2 linked regions of the Rhinolophus ferrumequinum genome follow. The protein of the gene in region 2 interacts with the protein of the main gene of each other region in a pairwise test. Links are inferred from orthologs where the notes say so. Each region holds a gene or a part of one and is shown on either strand. Other genes may lie near its edges.

The links.
Region 1: the proteins of REEP6 (region 2) and LITAF interact in binary tests that used the Homo sapiens proteins (3 or more experiments, as listed by UniProt). The two-hybrid records come from large-scale screens. The link is inferred for Rhinolophus ferrumequinum from reciprocal best matches to the Homo sapiens genes REEP6 and LITAF.

Annotation. Positions count from the first base shown.
Region 1 is NW_022680357.1:10,966,838-10,974,068, forward strand, and holds the start of LITAF (lipopolysaccharide-induced tumor necrosis factor-alpha factor), read right to left. Parts: upstream 3,007-7,231; 5' UTR 3,005-3,006; coding exon 2,986-3,004; intron 1-2,985.
Region 2 is NC_046301.1:61,580,577-61,587,545, forward strand, and holds the start of REEP6 (receptor expression-enhancing protein 6), read right to left. Parts: upstream 3,011-6,969; 5' UTR 2,884-3,010; coding exon 2,769-2,883; intron 95-2,768; coding exon 1-94. UniProt on the Homo sapiens protein: Required for correct function and survival of retinal photoreceptors. Required for retinal development.

The DNA.
Region 1 (7,231 bases), on a different chromosome or scaffold from region 2:
AAAAAAAAAAAGTCAACCCTAATGCAAACTATGAACTTTTGATAATTATGATAATTATGATGTTGATGTAGGTTCATCAGTTGTAACAAATGTACCACTTGGGTGGGGGTGCTGACAATGGGGGAGACTGTACGTGTGTGTGGGGGGTGGGTATTTGGGGAATGTCTCTACCCTCCTCTTAAGTTTTCTGTGAACCTAAAAGTGCTTTTTAAAAGTTACCTTTTTAAAAACAAGTTCTGAAGATGGATGGTGGTGATAGTTACCATTGTGAATATATACTTAACGACACTGAACTGTACACTTAAAAATGGTTAAAATGGTCAATTTTATGTCATGTATATTTTACAACAAAAAATAAAATTAAGTTAAATTAAAAATGGGCAAAGGACGTGAATAGACATTTCTGCAAAGAAGGTACACAAATGGCCATCAAGCACATGAAAAGCTGCTCCGCGTCATTAGTCATCAAGGAAATGCAAATCAAAACCACCGTGAGGTACAACCTCACACCCACTGTGCTGGTCATAAATTCTTTTTTTAAATGGAAATAACAAGTGTTGGGAAAGATATGAAGAAACGGAAACTCTCATACATTGCTGATGGGGATGTAAAATGGTGTAGCTGCTATTTCACCCCCAGGCAGATGCACAAAAGAATTGAAAACAGGTATTCAAACAAAACCGTGTACAGGAATACTCACGGCAGCATTATCCACAATAGTCAAAAGGTAGAAATAACCCAAATGCCCATCAACTGATGAATGGATAAACAAAAGGTCGTGCAGCCACATGACAGAATATTATTTGGCCAGAAAAAGGAACGAAGCACTGATACCTGCTACAACGTGGATGAACCTTGAAAACCTTATGCTCAGTGAGAGGAGCCAGACATAAAGGGACACATATCTTATGGTTCCAATTACATGAAATTTCGAGACTAGGCAAATCTATAGAGACAGAGAGCTGATTAGTGGTTGCCAGGGACTGGAAGGAGTGGGGACTGAGACTGCTAATAGGTATGGGGTTTATTTTAGGGGTTGCCAAAAAATGTCCTGGAAGTTTATAATGGTGATGGTTGCACAATATTTTGAATGTACTAAATGCCACTAAATTGTATATTTTGTGAATTATATCTCAGTTAAAAAAAAAAAGCAAATCAGGCATCTCATGTATGCCCTGTTAGGACACAGCAGGAGGGGGCCACACAGTGTCACACGAAATCTGTGACTATTCCTTTTCCTAGTGGAGACTTTGCAGCTGTGTTCTAACCCAAAACGCAGCTGCAAAGTCTCCACTAGGCCCAGGACGAGATCTGGGAAGTAGACACGCACGTGCCAATACACTGGAATCACATGGACCAGACAGAAAGGGAGAGACTTCGTCTGAGTGACACTTCCTCATTCAATTTCAGAAATAACAGCAGCCAAGAGAGCAAAACCAATTGCCTTAAAAAAAATGCAGAATATGATCCACTTTATGTTAAAAGAAAAAAATTCACACACACACACACACACACACACACACACACACACACACACACCTGGAAAAAATTCTTCACACTTTTTCAAGGATAAAGAACACTATAAATGGTTATCCCTGACTGATGGAAATTAGGAGTTTTTTCTCCTTTTGCTACTCTGAATTTTCTAACATTTTAAGAACTAACACCAACTGCCTAAAAAAGAAAACAAGTAATTTTCAAAAACAAAGAACCCAGTTGCCAGAAATAGCCTCCACTGACTGGTCTGTGTTATTTATAACCAGGAATTCTGGTAACTAATGTTTCCATAACACCTTTTCCATTTCCAAAAAACACATTTCCCACACGCATCACACAATTCATTCTCACAAAAGCCCTGTGCAGCAGAGAATTGGACTGCTGAGTTATGCAGATGGGGAAACTGAGGCCAGAGGCTTGCCCAAGGGTGCCTGACCCCCGCCCCATGCAAGATCCTGGCTCGCTGTTCTTCCAGGGCCCTGGCTCTGGATGCTTACGGACATAGAGACCTTGGTAGAGTCTCACTTGCCAGACGTAGCAAATAAAAACACAAGATACCCAGTTAAACTTGAATTTCAGCTAAACAGCAAGTGATTGTTTAGTATAACTATGTCCTAAATATTGCAGACTTGTAATACATCCCAAATATTACACAGGTCATACTGAAACTAAAAAAAAAATCACTCACTCATTGTTTGTCTAAAATTCCCATTTAACTGGGCATTTTCTATTCTATCTGGCAATGCCAGCTGCCTGGTCTTCTGGCCACGTCAGGAGGCCTGAGTCAATCCTTGGTCTCTGCTGTGGGCGATGGCAGCTGTAGCCAGGGCCCAGGGAGAGGCCCAGGTGAGCTTCCCGGGCCCCATAATTCCCTGGGTTAACCCTTCCCCTGGAGGTATGGAGACTATCCCAGAACTGTCTATGCCTCCGTCCTCACCAGGCCCACCCAGAAGCAGCTCTGGCCTGCCCAGGGCGAGGACCTGATTACCTGATTTATGGGGGCCCCATAAACCTCAGGGCAAATGTGTCCTCAGGAAGAGAGGCCTGCCCCACTCAGTAACAACACCCAGATGTCATGCTGCGTGCCTGCGTTTCTATTTAACAAGACATATGCCGGCTCAGGCAAAGGCTACAGAATGAGCCCCTAATACAGACTGATGATGGTGATGACGACGATGAAAGGACAGGACACACAAGCTGGGTCCCTACTGGGTGCCAGACCCTGGACAAGGCACTTTTCTATTATCTCCTTTTTCTCCTTACAAAAACCCTCCTGTTTTACGGATGGGGAAACTGAGGCCCAGAAAGGTTAAATAACAGGCTCCAAGTCACACAGCCCCTTGACGCCCTCAGCTGATATGCCCTGGGTGCCAGTACTGTTCCAAGAGCAAGGACCAGGGTAACAATGGGCAAATTCTTTACTTCCCTGGAGTTTATGTTCTGACTGGGAGCAAGGCTGAGAGATAATAAATCAAAAAGAAGTAGTACCCTGTGACGTTGCAATCATTGCTGGCTCTTTCTCGTTGCTGTCGCCTCCAGGAAACACATGTCTCCATGGCACAGAGAGCTTCATTCTCAGAGATCTATTCCACCTCCCTGGGCGGGGAGGGGGTGGTGGTGTGGGTGGAGCATGCATCCCAGAATCATGTTTATTTTACCAACAGTCACATGATGCTCCAGTCACACGATGCTTTCCCAACAACCCTGTGAGGTAAGTACTATATTTCCAGTTTTAAGATGTAGCAATTGAGGCCCAGAGAGGTTAAGCAAGGTGCCAAAGCTCACACAGCTAGTAATGGTAGCAGAGTCACTGAACCCAGGCTGCCTGGCTGCAAGTCCATATTTTGCTGCCATGCCGTGGAGATCTTCAAGCCTTCTAAATCACCCAGACCCGTATCTTTCGGGCTTTTGAACCTCAGAACCTTTCCCCTCAATGCAGCCTCTGTAGAGCCCCAACATACAAAACAGAAACAAGCAGTTCTGTGTGATTTGAAGCAAGCCCCCGTCTGAAAGGGAATAGTCTACCAATGTGTTTCAGCCCAGGCCAGGTCTCCACACAGGTTCCTCCTCTCGCTCAGGGCACCCACAAGGCCCTCTGTTTCTTACACCTTTGTCTCTCCAGGTGCCCCGGACATGGGAGCTACCTTCTCATGCAACTTTCAAAGGGACTTCCTTGTCTGGGGTTTTCTCCCAGGCGCACCCCTGCTGGGCTGTTTCTGTGTTTCCTGGAATTTGAACCTGAACACCAGTGTTTGTTCACCAGTTCTAGGTTGCCTGGCACCAGCTGCTGAACTTGGTTCAAGGCCTGTTTCTCTTCCAGCCAGAAGAAGGGCAGGCCCGGGGCTGCAAAGCAAGTCTGAGGAAGCCTGAATTGCCCAATGTCCAGAGGGTCTGATCAGGGCTTGGGGTGGGGAGTGGGGCAGTCAGGCTCCTTTGCTTTGAGGCAATGACTCTGAGTCTGGCACGAAGTCTACACCAAAGTCCCCTTCTTGGTTCCTTCCTGGTGGCAGGACCTCGGTCAGCCTCTCCTTCCAGACTCCCCTGTTTTCTCAGCTGTCCTGCCATCTCCTAGTGTGGCCATGACAACGAGATAAACTCCTGAGGAGAAGCAGCATGGCAGCATGCCTGGCACATAGTAAGGCTTCAGTTGTTCATAACTATTATTATTGTTGCGTTGCTGTTGTTTTTTAAGCTCCCCTTCCACGAAAAACAAAACCCCACAAGACCTATGAACGTGCGCCCATGTGTTTCTGGAATCACAGTTCTGATCTGTTAGCAGCAGTCACAGCTCTGTGATAAGAAAATCGTCCTACCAAGCAAATGTACTCATGGATCAAACCACCAAGCATCTCCCACCTGAGGTCCTAACTTGGTTTCCGCAGTCCAGAGAGGTGTCGCGATCCTCCCCGAAGCCTCTGTGACCACTCCACTCCACCCACAGGGGCCTCCCTGCTGATCCAGCACCGTCCTGCCTCAGGGTCTTTGCACTGGCCATTCCGCCTGACGGGACCACTGTCACCCCAGGTATCAGACATGGCTTCCTCCCTCCTTGGAGTCTTTGCTGAAATGCCGCCTTCTCAACCAGCCCCACCCTAACCACCTTCTCAGAGATGATAGCCCCCTCCCTCACCCTCTTGACACCACTCCCTGATTTTCTGTACCACTTGTCACCTTCTAATGAATGACAGTATGCTTGTTATTCCTTATCTGTGTCCCCAGCTACACTGTCAGTTCTGGGAAGTCAGGGCTCGTTGTCTGTTGCTCACAGATATGTCCCAGGTGCCCAGCAAAGGCCTGGCACATGAATAAAGAGAAGGCAGTCTGGGGGGAGGGGACAGAACCCTGACATTCCCTCCACTCCCGCTTCCTGCACCCCGGCCCCAAGGGTCCTGACCTGGGAGCATCATTAGGAGACCTTGTTATCTGGAGAGTTCCCCATCCCCACTCCCCCCCACACACACACACACACAAAGGTGAATTATGCTGCTTCCTCTTTCACCTACCCACCTTCTGGGATGAGGCTGTCTCCCCCTCAACCACTTCCCTGCGCCCCCTCTTCCACCCCGCTCTCCTTCTTGGGGGCACTGAAATGTGGAAGAAACACCTGGGAAACCCACCGGGGAAGAGGCCTCTAAGACTGCCTCTCCCTCCTCGCTTACACAGTCAGGGCCAAATGCTCATTACCAGGCCTCCTGCCTTCTGAACCAACAGCATGCTCTCTCTAAAACCATAATTTAAAAACAAAACTGTGATTACTCCAAGCCAAAGACAATAGATCATTTTTTTGGGTCCTTCTTAATAATAACAATAGCCATAATAAATGCGTAGCCAGGCTCTATCAGCGTGTATATGACTCATTTAATCCTCACAAGAACACTGTAAGGTAGACAGTGTTTGCCCCATTTTACAGATGAGGAAACTGAGACACAGAGTAGTTAAGTATCTTGCCCAAGGTCACACAGTGAGTGTGAAGCCAAGATCAGAATCCAGATAGGCTCTCTCTACAGTTAGTGTGCTTACCCATATTCTATCCTTTTAACCTGAGTAGGAATTATTATATAATCCCCATTTTAATAATGGTAAAGCAACCGAGACCCAAGGTTTTGCCGCTTGGAAGTGTCAGAATCGGCATTTGAACCTAAGACAGGACTGCAAATTAAGGGCCTATTCTCATTCACGTAGCTGCGGTCCCCATTCATGTACATATGCACATGGTGCACACTGACCAAGCTAGACAACACAAAAAGTCCCCGGGCAGAAAGGCCAGCGCTGTGGAAGAGCTTTGGCAAAGGGCTGAGGAACATCCCCACCTCTGAAGCCTTCGAGTAACAAAAAAGGAAGTGGAAGAGGAGAAAGGAGAAGTGAACCGGGGACCCGACTCATTTCTAAAACGCGCTGAAGTATTTCCCAGCATCGTAAGCAGGTTGAGAAACAAAGCAGAAATAAAGTCCTGTGTGGTCATCAGATGTAGGGTGCCCTGCTGGGGAGCAAAGGGTCCTTCTGTACCCCCAGAAGCACACCTTGAAGAACTCCTCCCTAGGCCATTCCCAGCAGCAATCAAGGTGTTTGAGAAGTGCCTGCTTTATTGCCAGGTTATCCTTGTACCTGAGCGGATGGGAGATCCCCCAGAACCTTGCTGCTGACAGCCCCATGGGGGGACAACACAAACAGCTATGCAGAAGAAGCTGACAAGTACACTGTGAAAAACCGCTCAGTAAGTCCCTCTGCCGCGGAAGGAGGAAGAAATAGCCGGTATGTCTGCAGATGGAAAGCAGGCTGCAAAATCCTCAAGGGCAAAGGGATGAGAAGTACAAATCGCCAGGTGTAGAACAGTCACGGGGATGTAACATATAGCACAGGAAATAGTAATACTGTCATAACGATGGAGGGTGTCAGGTGGGTACTAGACTTACCGGGGGATCACTTCGTAAGGTATATAAATGTCTGATCACTATGCTGTACACCTGAAACTAATATAATGTTGTTTGTCAACTGTAAGTGAAAAATAATTTTTTTTAAAAAAGCAGTAGCGAACAATCGAGATTGTATGTTAACATCTACAGCAGCGTTTCACTGAAGGTCACACCAAACATGAAACCATAGGATTGGGTTATGACCGGCTACCTTTGTTTGTAGATGGGCTGGGCTGGGCTGGGCTGGGCAGGAACGGAATGAAAATAGGAATAGAATAGGAATAGAACAGAACAGACAAACCCTGACTGCATTCCTTGTAAGTATCACTGCATAAAACTTCTGTTTAGTTATATGTCAGTGTCCGTGTGTCCTGGGTTACAACACAAAATCAATTTTTCACCGTGGCTTGGAGCTAAAAACGTTTGAAAACCCTTGATATGGAAAACATCTAAAAGAAAGAAAGGACCCAAACAGCCCAGGGAGGCTCCCTCTGAAGAAAAGGGGCAAGAACTTTACTTTATACAACTTTGTATTCTTTGGGTTTAAAACAAAACAAAACAAAACAAAAAAACAACAATGAGCATGTATGTATTGCGTTTACAATAAAATAAAGACCTTTTTAAACCTTTTAGAAAAAATAAACACCCCTGCCTTGTCTCCAGGAGAGAGGCTGTGCTTTCTGAGCTGTCAACAAGTTTTTGATGTGAAAAAGACCAAATCCTTGCCCCAGGGGCTCTGCCTCCCAGCGGGCTTCCAGGACTCCCTGGTTTGTTTCCACACGTCCTTCCCTTCCCCTCCAGAAAGTCACAGGATCATCCAA
Region 2 (6,969 bases):
GAAGCATATGCGGGGTACACAAAGCCAATGAGATTGCACAGTAGAGACGCCCCGTAACCGAACAGAAGATACAGGCTTAGCAGAGTGGCGGCTCCTGCAGAAAAGAGGGCGTGGGTGGGAGTCTGGCTCACTCCGTGCCTGGCCCACAAGCCCCTGGGCCTCCTCTTGGCCTGGCAGATACAGTCCACCATTGTTACTCTCCCTACAAGACTCAGCGACCCCTCCAGGACACATTCCCCTGCAACTCCTGGGTGACTCCTCTGTGGCCCTGAGCCCTGAGTCTTATGTCTATAATCAGTTAACAGATCCATCTCCCGCATGGGACTGCGAGGTCCCCAAAGGTAAGTGGGGAGCTCCGCCCTGGTGGGTACAGAGTAGCTGCCCACTCAATGTTTGTTGAATGAATAAGTGATCATCTGCAATTATAATCACCTCACTCTGGGTCCCACTTGATGCCCACTTGATGCCAGGAGAACCCCCTAATTGTGACAACCGGAAATGTCACCAGACACTGCCAAGTGTCCTGAGGTAGCGCATGGTCCCGTTTGAGACCCCTTGTCTTAGTGGGAGGCAGCAAAGGGCAGTCTAGAGCCCCCAGACCTTGGAGAGCCCTCTGCTCCTCCACTCACTTACCATGTGACACTGAGCTTGGAGACTCAGTTTCCCCATCTGTCAATGGGGTGGTAGTGGCCCTGCCTCTTAGGGTTGTGGGTTTAGCTAAATACATTCAACACAGAAGACTCGTCCTTTCCACACATTACTGAGGGCCTCTGGTCACAGAAACACCAATAAGGCTCAGAGGAGAATAGTGTGGGAGTGGGGGCAGCCAGGAGCACTAGTCACTCTGAAAACAATGGTAACTGTCACATTTATTAAGTACTTCTTATGTATGGGGCTCTGTGCTTCCCTGTTCTGTCTCAGGCAATGAGAGAAGGAAGCAGGGCGAGAGGAACTTGCCCAGGGTCATTTGGGAGCATTTACAGCCTCCCGCCTCTTCCCCTGAGGCTGTTATCTGCAAAGAGAGAGAGAGAGAGACAGAGAGAGAGAGACAGAGAGAGAGAGAGAGAGAGAGAGGCCACTCATGGACCAAAGGGCAGAGTCACCCACACCCTTCCCTCCACCTGCATTAGTATCTATCGCAGTCTGGGGTCAGGAGTGGGAGGGGGTCCTCCCCAGCTGGCGCCTCTGGGTTTCCTATTACTTGGGAAGGGGGATTTGGCCATTTGGGGCAGGTGGGGTCCAAGGGTTCCCACATGTGGGTGAGGGGGTGGGGAAATGTCACCCCTTCTCTAGAAATCACTAGAGGGGGAGCAGCGGCTCTCCCAGGGCACCCCTCCCCTCAATCCCTATTCCTGCAGCCTCAGCAATGGGAGGATGACCTTGGACTTGGCGGGGGCACAACCTGAGATCAGCAACAGATGGGGCTCAGGGTAGGAGGGGTCGGGGGAGGGGTGGATATTCCAGTCAGGTCAGGTGGTAGGGGCAACCTCCCAACAGCCCCTGCCTCTCTGGGCCTTAGTTTCCTCCCTGTAACCACTAGCCTCCCTGGTGGGCCCCTCCCCAGTGCACTGTGACCTAAATCCCCCACCCATTGGTAGCAGGGATGTGGAAAGCCAGGCAGGAGGTCAATGGCTGGCTCCCAGGGGCAAGTCCTCGGCTGAGCTGACATGGGTTTGGCACTAGGAATCTGGGGGGGACAGATATCGAATCTTCCTTGAGCTGCTTGGCATGGGGATGCCCTGATTGATGGGGAAATGGGATGAAAGTGGATTCCCAGGATCTACAAATGGAAGGTGCTCAAAACATCTGTCATTGTCCTCACTTAAAGCCTTCCCCACCACTCCCACCCCAGCATCTTTGATTCATTCCAGGGGGGTTTCCTGGGAGAGGTGACAAAGTGGGTGGGACTGGTACACTGCAAAACAGGGAAGGAAGGCATTTAATGGGTGTTTACTGGACAGTTTTAGAAAGTGGCAGGAGCCACACCAGGCCATTGAGGAGGAAAGGAAGAGGAGGGACTGGAATGGAAGTTACAGTCAGATGTGGCTGGACCCCCTTCTTCCTGGGTCCCCATCCAAGCTTTCTCCAAAATGAACACAGCTGTCAAACAACCGAACTCCAACTCAACTATTCAACTCAACTATTCACGCAGAGTGGGTCAAAGCCCTTGGGCCACCAGGGGAGAGGGCAGGCCAAGGAGGGTACTAGCAGGAAAACAATGGGAGGGAAGGTGGACGTGACCTTTCCCTCCTGGCAGGGGGCATCCCTTCGGAAAACCGAGATCTCTACACTTGCTTTCAGGCTGGGGTCCATCAGGGACAGGGGTGGCCAGACTCAGGGCACTGGCTGCCTTCCTGCCCCCTTCTCCCCGGGGGACGGCAGGGCAACTGGAAGAACCGGACTTCGGCCTGGCAGGCACCCAAAGCCCTGAGGGAGGGGGCAGAGGACGGGCCTCCAGACCCGAGGGCCAGAATGGGCGTGCTGCGGGGGCTGAGAAAGGGGGGGCTCTCGCCTGAGGTCGCACGGCGGGGGCAGGAGAGGACCTGTAGCACACCGTGGTCCAGATCTACGACCCCTCCCCCGCCATGATCTAGGTCTACCCCCCGCGGTACAGCGGGGCACGCCCCGCCGTCCAGTCCGGACCCCGCAGCTTGGGCCAGCTGGAGTGGGGCAGGTCTGAGGCCCGGTTGCCCCAGGGTGCCCAGGGTTGCCTCAGTGTGCCCATCGGTGAAATGGGGCGGCGGCCCCGAGCGCCCCCGACGGCTCACCCGCGGCCAAGTACCGCTTGTCGACACCGGTCTTGGCTTCGAGCACCTCTAGCGCTTCGGTGGCCAAGTTCCTCTGTTCCAGAAGGCGCTCGAAGCGCTGGCGCAGGCCGTCCATGGTACCGGCCGTCCCGGGGCTGGCAACCCGAGCTCGACCGCAGCCCGGCGCACCGACCCTGCGGAGCGCGCGCTGTCTTCCCCCGAAGCGAGCCGCACCGCTCAGCCCCGGGGCTGGTCTCCGCCCCGGGGCTGGTCTCCACCCCCTGACCCTCGCACCGGCCAATGGGAGGGCAGGGCGGACAAAGGAGGTGGGGCCTGCCCCTTCTCCCCCGTCGCATTGCCCTCTGGCCCGCCGCGGCCGCCGCAGCCGCGACTCCAGAGGTAGGAGGCAGGGCGCGACGGCCGAGGGCGCCAATTGGCCGAGCGGGAGAGGGACGTAGCTGATTGGAGGGGCGGGGTCATAGCCTTGGATTATTGGCTGAGCCTTTGTGTGGGTGGAGCTGGGGAGGAGCGAAGCGTGCTGGGGTGGGCGGAACTGGTGGGTGGGGCCTGAGAAAAGCCCGAGCTGATTGGAGAAACGGGAAGAGATTCATTGGCAAGAATCAGAGGAGGGGCGGGGCTGGTCATAAAGGAGGCGGGACGGAATCTGAAGGGCGGAGCTAAATTGAAGAGGCGGGACTTACTCGAAAGAACGATTCTGGTTGGGCTGGAGAGGAGGCAGGGCTGATATTGTTTTAGTGGGAGGAGTATGTAGAAAAGCGGGCGGGGCTAAATAAAGGGGCGGGTCAATCATAGTAACAGTGAACCCGCTCCTCTGGGTCGGAAGAATTGGGTTATTGTACAAATGGGGAGACTCCAGAGGGTTTGGGTCTGCAAAAGACCAGGGAAAGCGTGTGTTCCCCCGCCCATTTCTGTCGGATCCTTGAGCCCCTGAATGGGGAGCCGCAAGGCCCCCTGGGAGTTGAAGCCTTTCAGGGGTTGCTATGGCGCCGGGGGCGGGGCGGGCTCTTGGACCAATTCGGCGGTTTGGCCAGGGGGAGGGATATTTGTAGACCCCGACCCCGCCCCCATCGCCATGCGGCCCGCCTGGACTGTTCTCTGGTTGCGCCTGGCTTTGACCCTGAGCCTGGTCCTCGTTTGTTTCCTGGCTGTGGGGTGGGCTTCGGCCCGGGTCCCCATCTATGTCAGCAGCTGGGCCGTGCGAGTGTCCCAGGGTTACCGGGAGGCCGAGCGCTTAGCCCGCAAATTCGGCTTCGTCAACCTGGGACAGGTGGGTGGGATCCGGATGGACGGGAAGGGGGCGGGGGCGAGACAACCCAAGACCCCAGGCCCCGACTGACAGGAGGGGGGGGGCCCCCAGGTACCCTCAAGAACCTCCAGTCCATCCCTTCTTCGACCAACTTCAGATTCTAGGACCCGCAGAGGGCACTCATAGCCTCCAAGTGGCCACCTGGTTGGGGGAGGAAGCAAGCAAAGGGGCTGGTCCCTGTCCTGCGGGGGCTCCATCGGGGAGCCGGCCCTAGCGAAGCTACTGCTCCCCCACATTCTCAGATCTTCCCAGATGGGCGCTACTTCCACCTGCGGCACCGGGGCGTGGTCCAGCAGTCCCTGACCCCGCACTGGGGCCACCGCCTGCGCCTGAAGAAAGACCCCAAGGTGAGCCTGGCTTCGGGGCTGCCCACTTGTGGTCTCAGCCACCTCCTGTTATTCTTGTGATTGTTATGAATGGCTGTGACCTTTCACAAGTTACCTGCTCTGAGTCATGGTCTCCACCTGGCCCCCCAGTCTATACAGTGGGGATTCAGATGGGGAACATCTGTGGAAAGCAAATGATTAAGCATGGGCTCGGTGCTCACCCCAGGGCCTGGCACAAAATATAATTCTTGTTGCAAACCCCTGCCCCCCACGCTCCCTCCCTCCCTCCTTTGTTTCATCCTGACAGATCAAGGTGCCCCATAAAGAGAGGCAGATAACATGCTAGCTCATGGGGTAGACGAGGGGGAATTGGCCAGTTTTGTGATGGAAGGAACAATTCCAAAGAGGAGGAATCCTGTCTGAAGTCACTCAATAAGGCTGTGACTGAATTGGCACCAGAACCGGGTCTCCAGATGCTCAGAAAGATGACAGATAGGGAAAAGGCCTTAGAAGCCAAGCTGAGGATTTGAAACTGAGTCTAGCAAGTCCTTGGGAGCCACAAAGAGGTATGGGCTGGGTTGGGGGGCTGATCAGCAAGGAGGCAAGAAGCTTGACTGTTCGAAACCCACCCGGAGAACTGGCTACAGAGAGAAGTGGCCACTTGGAGATATTTGCAAGAGAGAGGCCGGGCTTGCCGATGGATTAGGTGCATGTGACTGAGGGAGAGAAATCAGGGCCAGCTCCCAAGATTGGAGCAGAGCAAATGGGGAGATGATGGCCCTGATTGCTTAGATGGGGGTGGGGGAGACAGGAATCGGTTTGAGGGGCAGGTGGGAGATCAACAAGAAAGGAGGAGCAGCAGCCCCAGGGAGGCAGAACAATATGTGCAAAGGCCCAGGTGGGGCAGCCACTGTGGCAGCAGCGTAGAGAGGCTGGTGGGGGACAGATAGGAAGGGCATTGTGGGCCCTGGAGAGGGCGGTAGGGAGCCACGGGAGGATTTTGACAGAAAGCACTGCTGCTGTGTGCTAAGAGTGGTTTATTGAGGCAGGGGTACAGCTGGAGGACCAGGGAGGAAGTGGGTATGCAAGGGTGTCCTGCACGGTAACGGGGGTGGTAGAGAGAACTGGCCACTGCAGGGGAGAGGACAGGTCCCTGGGAAGTGGCCATGTGTCCGTGGGCCCTGGGAATGGGGGCTCCAAGGGCCTTGGCCCCCTCTGAAGACAGAGCCCCAGGCACATGGGGACCCTGAAGATCAGCCCCAGCAAACACAAAGTCCCAGGACAAGCAGTCGCAACCCAGACACACGTCCCACACCAACCACAGCCCCATTGACAATTGCTCCTTAGCAGACCCTGGGAAGCAGCCCGGGCAGACCCTAGACACAAGCCTTTTGACTAGGAATTGGCAGGAAGGGCTCAGAGGGGCATGTCCTCTTGGTCCGTGGGACAGGACCCTCTAAAGTGCATGGGTGTAAGGCAAGATAGATGGGTCCAGCCCCTGCCTTGGCGTGTGTCCCCCTTCAGGTGCAGTGGTTTGAGCAGCAGACGCTGCGGTGGCGGGTGAAGCGCTCCTTAATGGTGCCCACGGACCCCTGGTTCTCCAAGCAGTGGTATATGGTAAGCGGGCTGGGCCAGGCGATTGGTTGGGGTTGTGCTGGATCCCCACTGACTCCAGCCCCACTTGGCACAGAACAACCAGGTCCAGCCGGACCTGAACATCCTGCAGGTCTGGAGCCAGGGGTTGTCAGGCCAGGGCATCGTGGTCTCCATCCTGGATGACGGCATCGAGAAGGACCACCCGGATCTCTGGGCCAACTACGTGAGCCCCTGGAGGGACAGGTTGGGAAGGGGGGTCTGCCTCTGTCCCACAGACTACCCCACCCCCTTCACATCCCCACCCCACCCCCAGGACCCCTTGGCCAGCTATGACTTTAACGACTATGACCCGGACCCCCAGCCACGATACACACCCAGTGAGGAGAATCGGTGAGCCCAGCATCCCATAGGGCCTGGGGGTGGCCCTTGTGCCCTTTGGGGATCAGGGGGCCTTGACGGGAACCCCTTTCTGCCTTGGGGCCAGGCATGGAACCCGCTGTGCTGGGGAAGTGGCAGCCATTGCTAACAACAGGTTCTGCGGTATAGGCGTCGCCTACAATGCCCGAATTGGAGGTACAGAGGCGCGCCAGGACAGAGGCTGGACTGGGTGGCGCTGGGTGGCTGACAATGCCAGGGAGAGTTGGCAGATCAACCAGGGGAGGAAGCCTCTCACGGCCACACCCTTGCCACTGGACAATGCAGAGGCCCCAGACTCAGGGTGGGGAGAGCTGAGCGCGCCACCCCCCCAGCACAGACGACTCCCTGGTGGTGGGGAGAGGGCCCTGCCAGGGTGGCTGGAGCTGGCCTGGATGGGTTGTGGTGCAGGCGGGGCTGTCCGCCGAGGCCCAACACCCACCTGTGCAGGCGTGCGAATGCTGGATGGCACCATCACCGATGTCATCGAGGCCCAGTCGCTGAGCCTGCAGCCGCAGCACATTCACATCTACAGTGCCAGCTGGGGCCCCGAGGACGA